Linked DNA regions of Rattus norvegicus. The protein of the gene in region 1 purifies or fractionates together with the protein of each later gene. This does not show direct contact. Links are inferred from orthologs where the notes say so. Each region holds a gene or a part of one and is shown in the gene's direction. Other genes may lie near its edges. The genes, in order: Rnf41, Mtcl2, Clec16a and Cacybp.

Evidence for each region.
Region 2: the proteins of Rnf41 (region 1) and Mtcl2 purify together in Homo sapiens (affinity purification with mass spectrometry; 3 studies listed by BioGRID and IntAct, with this or other methods). This does not show direct contact. The link is inferred for Rattus norvegicus from reciprocal best matches to the Homo sapiens genes RNF41 and MTCL2.
Region 3: the proteins of Rnf41 (region 1) and Clec16a purify together in Homo sapiens (affinity purification with mass spectrometry; 3 studies listed by BioGRID and IntAct, with this or other methods). This does not show direct contact. The link is inferred for Rattus norvegicus from reciprocal best matches to the Homo sapiens genes RNF41 and CLEC16A.
Region 4: the proteins of Rnf41 (region 1) and Cacybp purify together in Homo sapiens (affinity purification with mass spectrometry; 4 studies listed by BioGRID and IntAct, with this or other methods). This does not show direct contact. The link is inferred for Rattus norvegicus from reciprocal best matches to the Homo sapiens genes RNF41 and CACYBP.

The regions. Positions count from the first base shown.
Region 1 is NC_086025.1:1,443,088-1,446,860, forward strand, and holds part of Rnf41 (E3 ubiquitin-protein ligase NRDP1), read left to right. Parts: intron 1-1,385; coding exon 1,386-1,657; exon of another isoform or gene 1,658-1,684; intron 1,685-2,526; coding exon 2,527-2,662; intron 2,663-3,007; coding exon 3,008-3,111; intron 3,112-3,760; coding exon 3,761-3,773. UniProt on the Homo sapiens protein: Acts as E3 ubiquitin-protein ligase and regulates the degradation of target proteins. Polyubiquitinates MYD88. Negatively regulates MYD88-dependent production of pro-inflammatory cytokines.
Region 2 is NC_086021.1:166,158,049-166,162,296, reverse strand, and holds the start of Mtcl2 (microtubule cross-linking factor 2), read left to right. Parts: upstream 1-1,253; 5' UTR 1,254-1,393; coding exon 1,394-2,800; intron 2,801-4,248. UniProt on the Homo sapiens protein: Microtubule-associated factor that enables integration of the centrosomal and Golgi-associated microtubules on the Golgi membrane, supporting directional migration. Preferentially acts on the perinuclear microtubules accumulated around the Golgi.
Region 3 is NC_086028.1:5,627,684-5,632,169, reverse strand, and holds the start of Clec16a (protein CLEC16A), read left to right. Parts: upstream 1-1,550; 5' UTR 1,551-1,718; coding exon 1,719-1,798; intron 1,799-4,486. UniProt on the Homo sapiens protein: Regulator of mitophagy through the upstream regulation of the RNF41/NRDP1-PRKN pathway. Mitophagy is a selective form of autophagy necessary for mitochondrial quality control.
Region 4 is NC_086031.1:74,978,227-74,982,649, reverse strand, and holds the start of Cacybp (calcyclin-binding protein), read left to right. Parts: upstream 1-1,410; 5' UTR 1,411-1,561; coding exon 1,562-1,582; exon of another isoform or gene 1,583-1,773; intron 1,774-4,423. UniProt on the Homo sapiens protein: May be involved in calcium-dependent ubiquitination and subsequent proteasomal degradation of target proteins. Probably serves as a molecular bridge in ubiquitin E3 complexes. Participates in the ubiquitin-mediated degradation of beta-catenin (CTNNB1).

The DNA.
Region 1 (3,773 bases):
GAAGAAGAAGGAGAAGGAGAAGGAGAAGGAGAAGGAGAAGAAGAAGAAGAAGAAGAAGAAGAAGAAGAAGAAGAAGAAGAAGAAGAAGAAGAAGAAGAAGAAGAAAAGAAAAAAGCTAGTCGTGTTTAGGGCCCCAGATGTTTGCGAGTCAGGGGCAATAACTCATTGAAAGGTCATGACAGACCGCAGAGAGACGGAACTTGAGTCTTCACAGAGAAATCTCAACCTCTCACCACAGTTCCCCTTGCTTGTTGTTGGGTCTTTTTTCTTTCATTTAAAAAAAATACTTAAAGATTTTTATTTTTTTATACGTGTGGATAAGAAAGGGCTGGGGGATGAATATGCCGTGTGTACGTTCCTGGGGAGATCAGAAGGAACTGTTGGACTCTCTGAAACTGGTTAGAGATTGTTATGAGCTGCTGTGTGTGCTGGGAACTTAGCTTCAATCCTTGGAAAACTAGTAAGTGCTCTTAACTGCTGAGGGGTCTCTCCAGCCCCCAGTTGTTTGTTTGAGAGTTTGGAGGGACTGTTTGTTGAGACAAGGTCTTACTCTGTAGACCATGCTGCCATGGAACTTAAAGAAACGCGCCTGCCTTTGCCTCCCAAGTGCTGGGCTTAGAGGTGTGCACAGCAGGCCCGGATTGGTCTTCTTATACTCATTCAGCGTGCACACGTGCTCGTGAATACACACATAGTCTGTGGGACATATGGAGCTCAGCAGTCTGCAGCAGTCAGTTCTCTCCTACCACGGAGATCCGAGGGATCAGACTCACCTCATCCGGTTTGGTGGTGAGCACTCTTACCTGGGAGTCCCCTCTCCAGCTGCCTTTGTTTTCTGAGGCAGCTCTTGTCGTCTAGGGCAGGTGCTTACAAGACGACCTCCTCCTCAGCCTATGAACTGGGGACACCGACTTGCAGGGCCACATGCAGCCCTTGCTCTCTCTTACTTCTGTTGTGGTTAGTGAGGTTCTGCCCAGCTGTAAGCTGTGTCTGAGTCATTCTCGAAGCCCTGTGTGTAGAACACACCTATCTCCATATGGGTCTGCTGCGCTCACCCTTGCCTGCAGAGCTCATCTTCCTCTGGACTTACGTAGCAGTTATCATGTATGCGATCCTGCTGGCTGTTAGTGTTAGTGTTGTGTCCTCTTTTCCATTGACCTGGAGCGGACGGTGTGTCTCTTACTGTTACAGAACCTTTTGCTTGTTTGTCTTGTCTCAACTCATTTCTGCCCCTGAGCACAGGAAACAAGTCTTGTACCTGACCTGAAAACGCTCACCTGTCATTTACCGTGGGCCCCCAGAGTCTGGTTGCAGGCTTCACTGCCGGCCTCGTAACTCCTGGGTCCAGGGTCTCAGCTCTCGCTAACTCCCTGTGTCCCTTCTAGGCGCCTCATTGTGAGCATGCCTTCTGCAACGCCTGCATCACCCAATGGTTCTCTCAGCAGCAGACGTGTCCGGTAGACCGTAGCGTTGTCACGGTTGCCCACCTGCGCCCAGTGCCTCGGATCATGCGGAACATGTTGTCAAAGCTGCAGATTGCCTGTGACAACGCTGTGTTTGGCTGCAGTGCTGTTGTCAGGCTTGACAGCCTCATGTCCCACCTCAGTGACTGTGAGCACAACCCGAAGCGGCCTGTGACCTGCGAGCAGGGCTGCGGGTGAGACTCCTCCTTCCACTCATGCAGGCGAGCCTTCCCGCTGTCACTGCACTCCTGTAGGCAAGGGCCCCCCCGCCCCCGACCTCCTGGGCTCCGTGCCCGCCCGCCTGCCCACAGAGCTCCACTTTCCAACTGTGAAGAGGACAGCAGTCCAGTGAGCTCTGGTGGCACTGGACATTGAGGTGCTTTATTTTCTCTCCAGACCAATGTCCTCTGTCAGGCCAGGTCACCTATGCCAGTCTCTCACCTTCATGTTCCCTTGTGCCTGTTGCTGCCGGTGTGGTGAGGGGGGAAGTATTGAACACTGGTGCTCTGCGCAGTGGAGTAGGACTCCTCATGAAGGAGTGTGCGGTAGGATGCCCACAGAGCAGCCGGAGCGACACAGCAGCTCCCCTCCTAGTTCAGGCTGCCCCTAAGGGCACAGGAGGACAGTCTGTGGAGGGGGTAGGGCGTGTGCTGCTTACTCAGTTGGTGGAGAGCTTTCCTAGTATGCAGAGCTGGCTCTGTCTCGAGCACTGTGGGGCAATGGTGATGATCACACCCTTAGTCCCAGCACTGGAAGGTGGAGAAGGAGAGCAGAAACTCAACGTCATCCTTAGCACCAGCTGGAAGGTAGTCTGTGCTGAGCGAGACCTTGTCTCGAGGCGTTTATTGGCGGGCCCTCACAATGCTGTCGTGTGGGTGCCAGTTCTGTATAAGGGCAAGGAGCATGTTTGGAACAGGAAAGCGAAGAAAGGAAGGACTGGGAAGATTGTTAAGAGTGTGAGTCGCAGAAAGCCACTCAGCAGTTTTCTGTCACAGAATGAGCCATGAGCCTCTAATGTCCTGTTGAATAGTCTGTTCCGCTCTTGTCTCATTCTGAACTGCAGCCTGGAGATGCCCAAAGATGAGCTGCCAAACCACAATTGCATTAAGCACCTGCGCTCCGTGGTCCAGCAGCAGCAGACGCGCATCGCAGAGCTGGAGAAGACATCTGCTGAACACAAGCACCAGCTGGCAGAACAGGTGGGCCCAGGAAACGAGGGGGATGAGGGGACGTGTCCACCTTAGTAAATAACCTCCTGCCCACCCCAGATACCACCGTGAGCACCAGCCACAGCCTGTGTCCTGCTCTGTCCACAGTTCAGGAGAGAATCAGTTGGATCTGTCTTCCCTCACTCCCTTCATCCCATTCAACCATTCGGTCATCTGACATGTGGAGTGCCTTCTTCATGAAGCCATTTTGCTATGTCTTTCCCTGTCTTCCTGAAGACACTTACACAATACTGTTCCTCAGATCTCCCAGGCAGCTCATTCTCAGACCCGCTGATTGGCTTAAGCGTCCTCTTTGGTTCTGTTCCCACCCAACAGAAGCGAGACATTCAGTTGCTGAAGGCGTATATGCGAGCCATCCGCAGTGTCAACCCCAACCTTCAGAACCTGGAGGAGACAATCGAGTACAACGAGATCCTTGAGTGAGTTCCACTCAGGGTTAGAGTTAGAGGGAGGGCAGGGCCAGAGAGAAGAGCAAACCCTTAGCTCCAGTGCAGACTCGTTCATTGGGATGGATGGCAGGGAATCCTGCCTGAGGATGCAATTAGTCCAGAGTTAGCTGAGTGCCATCATGTACAAAGCATGTTCTAAGAGCTTTGGGGTCCTCAGGATCAAGTGGGGTAGCTTAGCACTCAGAGGAGAAGGGGCAGAGTGACGTCCAGGACAGTCTCCAAAACCCAGCAAACCAAGCAAGTAAACATGGGAAGTATAAGATTCTTTCCATTCGGAAGGCCTGTGTAGTGGGTACCAGACTGTGAGTGTGGAAGTGGAGAGGAGTGGGTCTGAGGGCCACAGTGTAGAAGACATTTCTTCATTCAGGATAGTCTAGTGGTTGCTGTGTGGTAGGCACCATGCATTGTTGGGATTTCAAAGGATAACAGTCTAGACTCGGGGATGGAGTATGGGTGAGTGACGTGAACAGCAGGCCCAACTAGAGAAGGATTTGGCTTTTCTGAGCCAATACTGGAAAGAAAGTCAGGCGGCCTGCAGAGTGGAGGTCCTCTCTGAGGAGAAAGAGCCAAAGCAGAGGAAGGCAGGAGCTGGAATGACCATCTGGACCCCTCCACACAGGTGGGTGAACTCC
Region 2 (4,248 bases), on another chromosome or scaffold:
GTTCTTTAATCCTTAAAAACATAAGTTCCTTAATCGACAAGGGTTGACAGACTTTTGTGGTCCCACTGCTGTTTGGAAAGGTTAAACCCATGAATTCAAGGCCAGTCGGCAATATAATGAGACCCCTGTCCTGACAGAGAGGTGTGGGGGGAGAATGGAGCATGGTCTGCATTAGTGCTTACCCAACTGAGGATGGCCCCAGGCACACACCCTCTCACACGGCAAAACCCAGGTTCTACACGGGAGGAAAAATGCAGAGCCGGCAACAATTTCCAAGAACTGCACAACCTCTCTGTATCATAATGACGAGCCCATAGGGGCAGGGACAATCAAGCTAGTGAACGTGTCACAGGTATATTAGACCAGGCTAGGGCTGGACTCTGAGGCTTGGGTGTAGGAGCATTCCCCTGGGGTCTCTAGCCGAGGGTTCCCAAATCACTGCCCAGCAACCTTACCCAGGCCCTGCTTGTACTTCAACGTGGACGGTGCACGGTGGGTAAGAGAAAAAGGAGTAGACCTTGAACTAGCTGGTCATATTGTAGGCCAGGGGAAGAGAAAGGGGAGGGGCCAAAGTAGAAGAGAAGAGGGCAGAGGAGGACGAGGAACCCATGGAAAAGAAAGGGGAAAGGAGAAGGGGAGAGAAAGACCAAGAAGGGTCTAAAGGAAGAAAAAAAGTCTGCATAGTGTCTGTGTGTGTGTGTGTGTGTGCGCGCGCGCATGTGTAAGGGCTATCCTTCTGGGTGGCAAAAGATTGGGCAACCACCATGCGGATGAGTGCCTTTCAGGGCCAAAGAACTTTCTATGATTTAGGCGCAGTAAGGAGAGGGCAGAGGTGAGGAGGGTATGAGGGACCCTGAGAAATCAACTCTGTTACCCTGAGTAGCTCAAGAGGAAAAAAACCCACGCCCACCAAGACTGGGGCCTTTTGAGTCCATGGGGTGGAGACGACCTGACCCTGTTAGTATTCAGGGTCACAATCTTCAGCCCATGCCAACACCCACCCGGCCTAGAACCTGCCCCTCAAGCATCTAATGATCTGGCATCCTCAAGGCACAGCCTGAAGTTAATCTCAAAGACTGTGAAACTGGGGTCGGGGAGACAAGGCTATGCCTGGGTTCACAGGCAACTAGGGTGTGCAAAGTCCGGGATGCACGAGAGGTGCCACGGACCCTACGGCAGCGGACAGAGAGGCAGGAGGAGTTCAGTACACTCCGGAGGCGTGAGACTCAGGGTCTATCCTACTTCCTCCGCTGACCAAGAGCCGACCGCGTGCCAGGTTGTGTTCAGTTTACGGTTCTATAGGATGGGGTCGTTTGTCATGCCCAGCTAAAGGGGGCGGAGTTCGCGCAGGCTCAGCACCCACAAGGGGCGCGCTGCGCGGTGCTGGGTGTGCATGGATGCTGGCTCCGGCCCTTTGAGGTCCGCGGGGCCTCTGCCGGGGAATATTCTCTCCTGCCGTCCACGAGGCCCTCACGGCGACGCCGGGCTTCTAGGCTCCTGGGCCGGGTGTGATCCCCCAGCCCGTAGCGGAGCGATCGGTGTCCCGGAGCGGCGGGAGCAAGCCGAGGCCGCGGCTGCCCAGGCCCGCCTGACCCTCGAGGGGGTCGCTGTTGCCTCGCGGATCCCTCCCTCGCTCCCTGCTCGCGTCCCTCCCCGCTGCTCCCGCCGCGTCCGCCTTTTGTTCGCCGAGCCGCGCGCCCCCGAGCCGAGGCAGCGGGGCGGGGAGCTGGCGGGGCTGCGTGGGGGGCGGGCCGCGCCGGGCGGAGCCGGGGCCCTGGCCTCAGCCGGACTGGGAGTCCGAGGCGGCGATCGCCGAGCAGGCTGCAGTCGGGGTCCGGGCGCGCTCCGGGGGCGCGGCGAGGCGGAGGGGGCGGGTACCGGGCGGAGCCGGAGTCGGAGTCGCGGCGCCTGGAGGAGATCCGGCCGCGCGCTGCGAGCACCCAGTGGCGGAGAGGCCGCGCGGCGTGGGGCAGGGCCCGAGCGCAGCCCCCGGACGCAGGAGACCGGAGCGCAGTCGCGGCCTGAGCGGCGGGAGTGCATCCGAGAGCCGCCGCAGGGACACCCAGGCCGGCCGCTCCAGGGCCATGCGCGCCGCTCGCTGAGACCCGGGGAGGCCGCGATGGAGGCGCCAGCGGGAGAGTCTTCGGCGCGAGGCTACGGCCCCCCGCCTGCGCCCGCGCCCGCCGCGGAAAGGAAGAAGAGCCACCGCGCGCCATCGCCAGCCCGGCCCAAGGACGTGGCCGGCTGGTCCCTAGCCAAAGGCCGCCGCGGCACAGGCCCGGGTGCCGCTACAGCCTGTGGCACGGCGTCTTCGGCGAGACCGGACAAGAAGGGGCGCGCTGTGGCTCCCGGTGCCCGGGGCGCGGGGCCGCGGGTGGCCGGGGTGCGCACGGGGGTCCGCGCCAAGGGCCGCCCTCGTCCGGGTACCGGGCCCCGCCCGCCGCCGCCGCCGCCCAGCCTCACGGACAGCAGCTCCGAGGTGTCGGACTGCGCGTCGGAGGAGGCGCGCCTGCTGGGCCTGGAGCTGGCGCTGAGCAGCGACGCGGAGTCTGCCGCGGGCGGCCCGGCGGGGACCCGCACCGGGCAGCCGCCCCAGCCCGCGCCGTCGGGGCAGCAGCCTCCGCGGCCGCCCGCCTCCCCGGATGAGCCGTCGGTGGCCGCATCGTCGGTGGGCAGCAGCCGCTTGCCACTCAGCGCCTCGCTAGCCTTCTCCGACCTCACCGAAGAGATGCTGGACTGTGGAACTGGAAGCTTGATGCGGGAGCTGGAAGAGCTGCGTTCTGAGAACGACTATCTCAAGGTGGGGACCTAGGGGAAAAGGGGAGTCGCAGGGGCGGGGGAGGACTGGTCATCCGGGCTCAAGAGCCCCAGGGCCTGAGGCCACAGGCAGCCACTTTAACGCTGACCAAACAGGGAGAGGCTGCCCCACCTCTTTCCACTCTTCTCGTGAGGGGGATTATGGCTAAGACACCGACTAAAGGACCCCGATGTGCACTCTCCCACCCGCGGTAAAACTGTTTTAGTGGATGCTCGGATAGGTGAGTTGGGATAGCCAGCCAAGGCTGACCTCCACTTTAAGCTGCCCAGGACCCCGCCCCCAGGTCAGCAGGCCTTCCCAGCTCTCCGTTCTGGAACCAATGTTCTTGTGTCAGGCTGCCAGGGAAACCGTGGCTATCCCCTGGCAAGGAGAGGCAGAACACCATCCTAAGTCCTTACCCAGGGCCTCCCCGGCAGGCCTGTCCTCGCCTGCCTTTTGGGGCGGATCCAATTTGAAAGCGTGACATCTGGGAACATCCCCTTGGCTTGAGTCCACTTCCGCCCAGTCTAACGGTCCCACAGCCTGGGAGGATGATGTCGTGGGAGAACTGGTTCAGAGGCCACTTCCTCAATCCCAGGATATTGTCCTCTGTCCCCTCTGAGAGTGGTTTTGGGCAGACTTGGCCCGTGTTCCCTGTGGGAAGAGGGAAACTGCCCTGCTGACTAGGGGTATTCCCTCTGTGTGTGTAGGACTGGAGAGCTGTCTGGGAGAAACAGTCGGCTGTGACGGGGGACCGAGGTGCAGCCCATGATCTGGCTGCCTCTTCCTTGACACGGTGGCAGCTATGGGGACAGTCCTGCGCTGGCTTCTTGACCTTGGCATGGGAAGCTGGAATCTTTATGGGCTGCACTGCCCCAGCTGGAAGATGCTGCAGTATTGTCTGCCCTTGACAGTCGATGGCCTGGCACAGCACTCAGAGTGGCCTGGCCAGGAGCCATGGAGTTGACAGTGCTCTAATGACATGTCTGCCCTGCAGCTCTTAACTGCCCCTTGCTTCTACTGTCTGGGGGCGGGGGTGTCTTCTTCTTAGGGTGTTGGGGTGTTGCTCTTGCTTTCCTTTGGGTCCTCTATCCAGCATGTTCTTAGTAAACTCCTGTACACTTGAGGACACAGGTCTATCTGACAAAGGACCATTTACCACCTGTTTGTAGCCCAGGCTTCCCCAGGCCAGGCTTCCATTCTTTTTCAGTGAAATGGGGGTATAAGTCTTCACAAAGGCGTAACTCGGTGTGGACATTAGGTAGGTGGGGTTCAGTTGAAGTCTTCTGACGTTAGCTGTCAGAGTGGAGTGGGTGAGGGTGGAGACAGTCTCCTGGGATGCTCCTAGTGGCTTCCTGAATTCCCAACCTCAACTACTCCAGGTCTGGACCTGAGCACCTTCCTCCAGTAAACGAGGACAAATCACAGTTCTGTTCCGGTTCTTCCTGCCC
Region 3 (4,486 bases), on another chromosome or scaffold:
TCCACTGCCTCTGTCTCCTGAATGCTGGGATTAAGGCCTATCCTCAACTCTTAAAAGGCCTTTAATCTATGGTCACACTTAGCTTTATAGGAACTGGACAAGGCAATGCCGCATGTTCTTTTTTCACAGATGTGGAAACCAAATCCCAGAGAAACAGATTCTTGAAGCTGCTGAGGCTGGGGCATTTTCTTTGGTGGTCAGAGCTGTTTCTGTCCTTTCATAATTTTTACATGAGAAACCATTAGCCTGATGCTGGCCTCCATTTCTCTAATTCTTGGAAGCAATGCAAGCCAAAATTTATTCACTCTATCAATATTCATTTAAGAACCTGCTATGTGAAAATCTTGTCCTGGGCCCTGGAGAGAACATTGGTCCCCGACTCAATTCTGTTCTTAGGACTGCCACAAGGATTAAATAGCTGTGAATGTAGAAATGAATAAATGAGTGGGTGTTAGGCACAGAGTCTTGCTTTCCACAGAGGTCCCCAGTTCCGATCCAGGAAAGAAATCCTCACATGGAGAGCTTGGAGTTCTCTTTCTTTCTTACTGAATTAGTCAGGAAGGGGCATGGATTTTGGATGGCAACCGGAGGAAACCTCTGAAAGTCCATTGTGGTTAGTTTCACATTGGCGTTTACATTAATGCTTGCATCCTTACAAAATGTTTTAAGACTAAAGTGCAAAAGAAAAAGGTTTTAAGGATAAACAGGGATGTTACTGGTTGGTCTTGTCGACAAAAGCAAATAAGGGTACCTAGGCTTGAATCCTGCCTCTGTCACGTGTTAAGTGCCTGACTTCTCTGTGACTCAGTCTCCTGGATTGTAAAATAAGGTTAATAGCAGCATCTACTTCATAGGGTTGTAAGAATTAAATAATAAATCACTTAGGATAGTGACAAATGATATGTACCACTCAATGCTTTTTTTTATTTTTAATTCTTATTATTGAGATATTGAAGGTTGAATCCGTCACACATAAACACATTCCCAGCCCTTTGAAATTTTTAAAGAGTTAGGCCCATCAAAATGGCTCAGCTGTTAAGCAAAGATACTGCCAAGACTGAGGATCTGACTTCGATTTTCAGAACCCAAATGGTAGAAGGTGAGAGCCTTCTTTCCAAAGTTATACTGACTCTACAAGTGCGCGCGCGCGCGCGCGCGCGCGCACACACACACACACACACACACACACACACACACACACACACACACACGTAATATTTTTTAAGAGAACTAAACCTCGCCAAATTGCCAAGGATGGTCTCCAATTTTAGCTGGGGTTTCAAGACACTCTTTTTCTTTTCTAATCACAAAACTAACATCAATAAGGTCAGAAAGTCATACTCCAATTTCAGCAAACCGTCCCCGCCCACCCTGACAGTGACCCGCCTTCTCCCTTCTTCTTGTCCCGCCTCCTCTCGACGGTCGCGCGAAACATGCCGGTCCTTGTAGTCCATTCGCAGAGTCCTGTCGTCAAGAGCCTCGCTCAAGAACTTCATTTCCCAGTGTTCCTCGCGGCGGCGGCCGTAAAGCGCGGCGGCCGAACGGCCGGTTCCGGCTGAATGTCAGTGCGGGGCTGTGGGCTGGGGATCAAGGTGCTTGGCGGTCTCTCCACCGCCCCCGCCGCTGCCGGCTGGGCTTGAGATGTCGCCACGAGCACCGGGCCGCTGAGCGGATCGGACATGAAACCGTGAGGCAGGCGACGGGGCTGGTCTGCGGACATGTTTGGCCGCTCACGGAGCTGGGTGGGCGGGGGCCACGGCAAGTCCTCCCGCAACATCCACTCCTTGGACCACCTGAAGTGAGTGTGCGGGGCGCGCGGCGGGGAGGCCGCGGGACCTGGCGCGGACGCCCAGACGCGGGCTTGACTTGCGGGGCGCGGAGGTGTGAGGAGGACTGGGGCGCCGCGGGAGGGTAGTATGTTGGTTATCCGCAAGGCTTTGGAGTCAGGGCACCTGGCTTCGAACCCTGACCCTGTCGTTTCTGGCCCTGTGACCTTGGACACGTCGCGTGATTTTTCAGTCTTTAGAAACCTAACCTGAAAAGGAAGGGCATCTTTGAGTTTTCGGTTTGTGGACTGGAGTTATCTTGATAGGGGACGGACAGTGGCCACTGGGCTTCTTGGGGTGGCACTTCTTGGGCTGCATAGTTTAGAGGCCAGAGGCCCGGGTATCGGCCAGATCTGGATTCGAATTTAGTTAACATTTAGGCTTTCGTTTCCTTCACTGTAAAATGAACAGAGTGACAGTACTACTTTTTGTAGTTATTTTTAGGATTGGTTGGATAAGAGAATGAACAAAACGCACAGAACATGTACAAGTACTCTAAAAAGAACAGTGATTAAAAGAACACAAGTATTTTCAGAAGGAAATCTAAAGGGATAGTCAGCAGTAGCACTTTGAGAGAGGGCAGGAGGCTTACAGAGTCCTGGGAACGCAGGAAAGTACACAGAAGAGGCTAGTTTTGGAGTTAGACCTGTGTTCAAATCCTGACTCAGCCACTTAATGACTGTGTAGCTTTGGTCATATTTTATCTCTCTGTCCTTCCAGTTTGCCATTACCAGCTGGGAACTAGGAACCGTACAAGAATTGGGTGATGTTGAGTGCGCCAAGTGATTGATCCAGTATCACTGTGCAGCAGCATCACTAACATAGGCATCGAAGCCTCCGCAGCCTGCTCCAAACCCTTTCTGTCTCTGAGTTCCGTTCCTTACACCCCTGCTGTCTTCTCTGGCTCTGCTTCTGTCCTTTTTAGTTTTTGTTAAACTCACACTTCCAAGACAGGAGAAGCTGCTTGGTTTCTTTGCAGTTGCATTTCCAGAGGATTGGAGGCAAAGAGAGAGTAGTAGAAGACAGAGACCTTAGAGAAAGGAGAGGCTCCAGGGAGAGAACTGGAGATGGAGGTGCCAAGGGGGTGAGGAGAACAGTTTTCAGAAGGGACCCCAGAAGCTTTGTCTAAGTACAGGGATGGAGATGAAGAATGGTGGGGTAAAAACAGAAAGGAAGACAGGGATCCGTAGAAAGGATTTCGGGCTAAAAATTAGATGGGACTTCCCCTTTGATGATGGGCTATAGAACCGCTTCAGTCATGGAGCAAGGATTTAGTAAATGTTTGTGAATTGCCTTGTGTGGAGAGGGAAGAGGTAGAGGGCAAGAATGGGGGTTGGTAGCAATTTAGAATTCTTAACTGGGATGGCAGATGGCCCGGAAAGGGAGTGGGGTGTGGATGAGTGGCTGAAGGATTTGAAGAATGTGTGGGCAGATTTGGCTGTGCAGGGGAGGGTGATTGTCCTGAGGGGCTGCGCCTCCTACCAGCCTAAGCACCTGCTGGCTCTCACCTAACTTGGGACTCTAGCCCCTTTAAATTCCCATTAATGTGTTACTTTGCCTTGTTAAGGATCATTGTTTGTTTCAGTCATCACAAGTCTCTGGGTTTGATTGTGTCCTGTATACATGGACTTGGCTAAGATTCAGGCAGCTTAAGGCAAGCCTCAACTCTTGTTTCTTTGTTATGTCTTTGTGGATAAAACTCAGTTTGAGGGAACTTTTGACTGGGCTGCATGTGATGAATAATGGGACATCTTTGCTGGCCAACAAGTGGACACCTGATAATGTAAGGGGCCTCAGGGTCCTTCCTGATATCTTGGGAATGTCTCAGGCTCATTGTCAAGGTCCTGGGAAAAAGAACTTGGCTGCCTTAATTCAGGCTGATCTGTTTAATCCCTTTCACAGCTTCGGGAACCTGGGTATTGATTAGCATGGGTCTTAGAAGATCCAAGGTGACTTGGAAAAGGGCTGCAGACATCTAGTGCCTACCCCAGTGCTTGTGCTGCCCTTCACCTGCATTCTGAGGACAAACTCCTGGAGAGTCTGCTAGCTGCTGCTAAGAGACCACAGTGTGTCAGGACTCTTCAGTGTGTCAAATACAGGGACAGTAGCAGTCCCAGGGGCCTGTAGATTCCCTTTATAGACGCTTTCTGGAGGAGGCAGCACTGGATCAGAGATCCCCTAAATGGGGCAGTGTCATATGGCACAGACAGGGGTACCATAGTCAGGTTTGTGGCCAGTCCAGGTGGGAGCTCATAGCTATGGGAAGCGAGGCTGTGAGAGAAAGAGGCTTTAGCTGACGTGTAGGACGATGAGCACTTAACATTCGTCCAGATCTGGGGTGAGGGTTTGGGGGAACAGAATATGGGATTTTCAGTGCTGAAACCAGGGAAGTCTTAAATAAACTAGAACAGATCACTTTCCTAGTTATTAAGTGACAGTCCCAAATCCTTTAAAACAAAACCAAGCCAAAGAATTAGGCTCCTTCTGCCTTGATCTCTCATGATCAGGGAGATTCCAGGATGCATCACCTTGCTGGCCTCCAATACATTCTTGTCCTGACGTACGTAGCACAGTCTTGGTGGAATAAGAGGTTAAGACTTTAAGAAAACTTAGAGTTGGGCTCTTTAGTTATTGGTTTTATATTTCTTTCTGCAGGTCCC
Region 4 (4,423 bases), on another chromosome or scaffold:
ACCACCCAACGGATACTGTTTGTTTTCTGTCTTGTTTTCCTGTATGTTATAGACGTCTCCATGCTGTCAGAGTTAAAGTAATTTGAAAAGCGGTTTTACACTGGGGTTTATTAATCCGGGCTCCTACAACTAGAAGAATTTCTCCACATTTTATGTGGGATCACTTAATCCAAACCCTGATGAAAATAAACAATATCTGAACTGTTTGTTAAGAGAAGGCAATGGAAAAGTCTGCTATTGAAAGACCCTCGCTCTAGTCTCGGGATGGCGCACCCCAGGAAACACGAGGGACCGGCTTGACGTAAAAGCAAGAGGCCGTTTAATAATAACGGAGCTCCGGGCCAACACGTGTCTCACGCAGGAGACAGAGGAGTCAACCCCAAAACTCAAAAGTCAGGGGTTTATATAGGGAAAGCTAGGGGGTTTTGGCGCGGTTACACACAATTGGCTCATTCAAACATAGCAGTGAGATTACAACACAGCAGAAGAGTACTTGCTAGAAGTCAGGGGCTTCTCAGGGTCTGGAGGACATCTGGTTAAAGTAGAACTCTGAGTAAGCTGGGGGAGATGTCCTCCTGCCAGATGGTTCATGAGTCAATCCTGATAACTCGGGCTGGTTCCTGCATTCCTTTTCTTTATCTTTATGGTCTGTCAGTCCTAGCAGCAGGGCGGGCCCCGTCATGCCTGGATTTGTTTCTTATAGTTTTTGGCTCTGAGTCTGTGAATTTTATAACTTATTCTTTTAATATCCTTTCACTATCAAGAGCTCTCAAAGGCAAGGGAGAATGAAGATTTCGGCCACTTGAAAATGTGCCGCCTTCCCACAACTGCGACTAGGAGACTGCCAGGTAGCCCGTGCAGCCTTCCTACAGTCCCACGAGAGGGCGCCACGTCAAAGGTGCTAGACACAGGACGTCTCCGGAGACCCAATGCCCACTTAAAAGCCAGTGTTCTCTTCAGGAGCCTTCCTCCCTTAACAAATCTGTCCCCTCCCCCCCCCCCTTTTTTTTTAATCTTAATTGTGTTTCTTTGGGAGTGCTCTTTTGTTCTCTCATAACACCTCACAGGAACCGAAGACAAAATGGCAGCCTGGCTAGCTTAGCATCCTACCCGCGGAAGCAGTCCTTCTCTAGACACTTCCTATTGGGTCCCCAAACCTTTGAAGGTTAGTTCCGGAGCTAAATCAGGCCGCGATTGCGAGCTGCGACTGCGCAGCCAGGCTATGTCGGCGCGGAATGACGTCTCAGTCACTGGGGCGGAAGAAGGATGGTTTGACGCTTCTAGAGCACACGTTCGCTCGCGAGAATTGAACGTTGCTAAGCGACCTCCCTGGGGGCGGGCCAGGACTCGGCGGGGCGGAGCTGGGCGGGGCCTCGCGGGCTGGTGGTGGAGCCTCGCGAAGGTTCCAGAGCCGTCTCGTGCGGAGGGCGGGCCGCCGAGTCCCGCCGGGTCGGTGTAGCTCGCTGCCGACGCTGCGACGCTCGTGGGTGCCGTGTTCGGCTTTTCCTGTCTACTTCAGTGCACCGCTGCAGCTCCGGCCTCGGGTCTGACGCGCCACAGCATGGCTTCCGCTTTGGAGGAGGTAGGGGTCGGCCTGGACCCACCGGCTCGCACCGCCCGGTGGCCGCTGTTTTCCCGGGGCTGGTATCCTCAGCTCTTCCCCAGTCGCGGGCCCACGGCCTCCGCGCTGCCACCTGCCTGGACCCCGAGCGTCCGGGCCACGGCAGGAAGGTCGGGGGTGTGTCTGGATCCCAGTTTTTGGCGCGGATCGTGGTAGGCTCTCGGGTGAAGGTCCCCTCTCTATTGCTTGAGCTCTTCTTGGCTCCCGGTTACCGGCTAGGGAACAGGAACCTTCCTTAAATTAAAGCTCATTGCAAAAGCTCTGAGCTCCGGGCCCGGGGCAATTGGAAGGAATCCCTTTGCCTGCACGACTAGCCACGGTGCCACATTCATTCCATATACATTCGGTGTGTTATTTCTGAACGCCTTGGGCAGTGCTTGCGGTTTTAGTTTTTATTGAGCAGCGCCAGTGGAGGAGCTGCAGGCCTTACACATGCTGGGGAAGCGCTCTACCATTGCGTTACACCCCCAATCTTTATAAAAGCATTTAAAAGAAATTATTGGTAATTTAGCTGTGGGAAATTGCGTGGCGTATGGTTTTAGGTTTGTAAAAAGTGAACGTGGATGACTTTTTGGATTCTTAAGTTTTACTCAGCTATATAACAAGAGTAATTGAATTGCCGGGTTTTGGCCTATATCGGTTTTAATGTGATTGATATATTGTGTTCACAGACACGTTGGCTATCTGTTAAGATTTGCTTTTCGGAAATTTCCCCCTCACTTTGAAAAGCAAGACATCGGCTTTAAACACATAAAAATTAGGAAGTTAATGTTAAAGTATTAACATGGGTATCTTGCAACAAGTAAGTAGACTCGGGCACCATGTGCTCTGGGAGAGTGGAGAGTGGCTTAACAGTTGTGCGCACGGAGGTGTAGTTTGTTATTGTCTCCAAAGGAAGAAACTTTAGACTTGGAGATATGAATATAGGGGCACGTTTTTCTTTTGAGATAAAGTTCATCTTATTCAATCATATTAAGGTGTATAATTCAACTTTTTCGGTCGTACACCCATCACTGTTACCTAGTCGCAGAATATTTTTATTTCCTCAAGTAGAAATCCATTGTAGGTACTCCGTCCAGCTGGATTGGAGCCTTCCGTGCTCATCCGTGGTATCAGAAGAGCATTCCTTTTTATGATTGAATAGTATTCCATTGTACAGGTACAATTCGTACTCATCTGCTGGCACACACGTGTTTCTCCATCTTGACGAATGTGAATTCGAGTAAACAAGTTTTGTTTTGTGGGCATGTTTTTAGTCCCTGTAGTTGCCAAATAATAAGAGAAAGCTTTGGAAGAAGTTACCATTCCCACAAGAATTGCACAAAGGTACCATTTCTACACATTCACTAACATTGTTATTTTCTTGGGTGGTTTTTGTTCATGTGATACCATCCAAGTGAGTGTGTAATTCCGCCTTGTGGATTGCTGTGTATCTTTGTAGATGTGTGTGTCCAGTTCCATCCATGTTTTTGTGGAGAGAAGTTGAGTTCTTACATTTTGTGCAGTTGGGTGGGAGAAGGTCTCACTAAGTACCCATGGCTTGGTCTTAAGAGACACCCACCCCTGCCTCCAGAGTGGTAGACCTAAAGGCATGTGCCACCAGACCAGACCAAGCCCCTATTTAACAACTAGGAAACAGAATCAAAGGGGGATACATGTTTATATGTAGAAAACAAATGCATGCCAAGAAGACAAGAAAAAGTGGACAGGAAACTGATCCTTGGCACCTTAAAGTTTGGATGCAGAACCTGCACTGTCCATGGTCTCAGGGCTGTGAATACAAAAGTCAAGCAATGGTTCTTCTGTAAGTCACTTCAGTTGATAGCTTACTCAAGAGTCCATTAGAGCAAAAAGGGGCCGTAAAGACGACATTCGAATTCTGCCATGAGTCAGCTAGAAAAAAGGATTCCCATTCCAGTCAAAAGCAAAAACTCTTAACCTTCTCCGTTAGTTAGGTAAGTCTATTCTAGGAATAAGTATTTGCTTTACTTTTAATATTTTTATTATGTTGATATATAGAATCCACATAAATTTTGAAACCACTGAAAAACATTGAATGAAACATCTTGATTCTAAATTCAAAAGATGAGTGTGCAGTTTTGGATCTCAGAGTCAAGTTTCCTTGGGATTGTGGACAGGGTTTCACTGCTGTGCTTTTTATAAGCTGTTATTAGTACAGCAAATGAGATCATAAAGGCCACAGAGTAATGAGCTATTATAATAACTAGCATTTAAAAGATTTTAAAATTCTTTTATTTCTTGAGAGTATAATAAACTAAATCATTTCCCCCTTTCTCACTCCAAACCCTCCTCCCATTTGCACTCTTTCAATATGAAACTACGAAAGTTTCTCTGTCCCTTTTCTTCCCTCATTGTTGCATACATAGTCTCTGTAGTGTTACTTGTAGGGAAGCTAACAGGGCTGACCATTTGGTACTAATTGTCCAATTGGTGTGCTTTTCCTTGGGGAAGACTTTCTCCTGCCCTCAGCCTGTCTTTGGGGCCAGTCCTTGTGTAGAATTGTGACTTCCTGGGCTTTCCTTGTCCACAATAGCGTGTCTATTTTTGTTCAGCTCAAGTTTAGGCATTCATGTCAAGATTTTTTGGGTGGATGTAACTTCTAATTACTAGGAGTCACAATCTCAGAACAGGCTCCTAGATCCTCTGGTTCTTAAAATCTACCATTTCCACAAGAATTGCACAAAAGGTACCATTTCTCCACATGGTAACATTTGTAATTTTCTGCAGTTATCTGAGCCTCTCAGACCTTAGGTGAAGGAGTTATGCTGCAAATACCTCCAT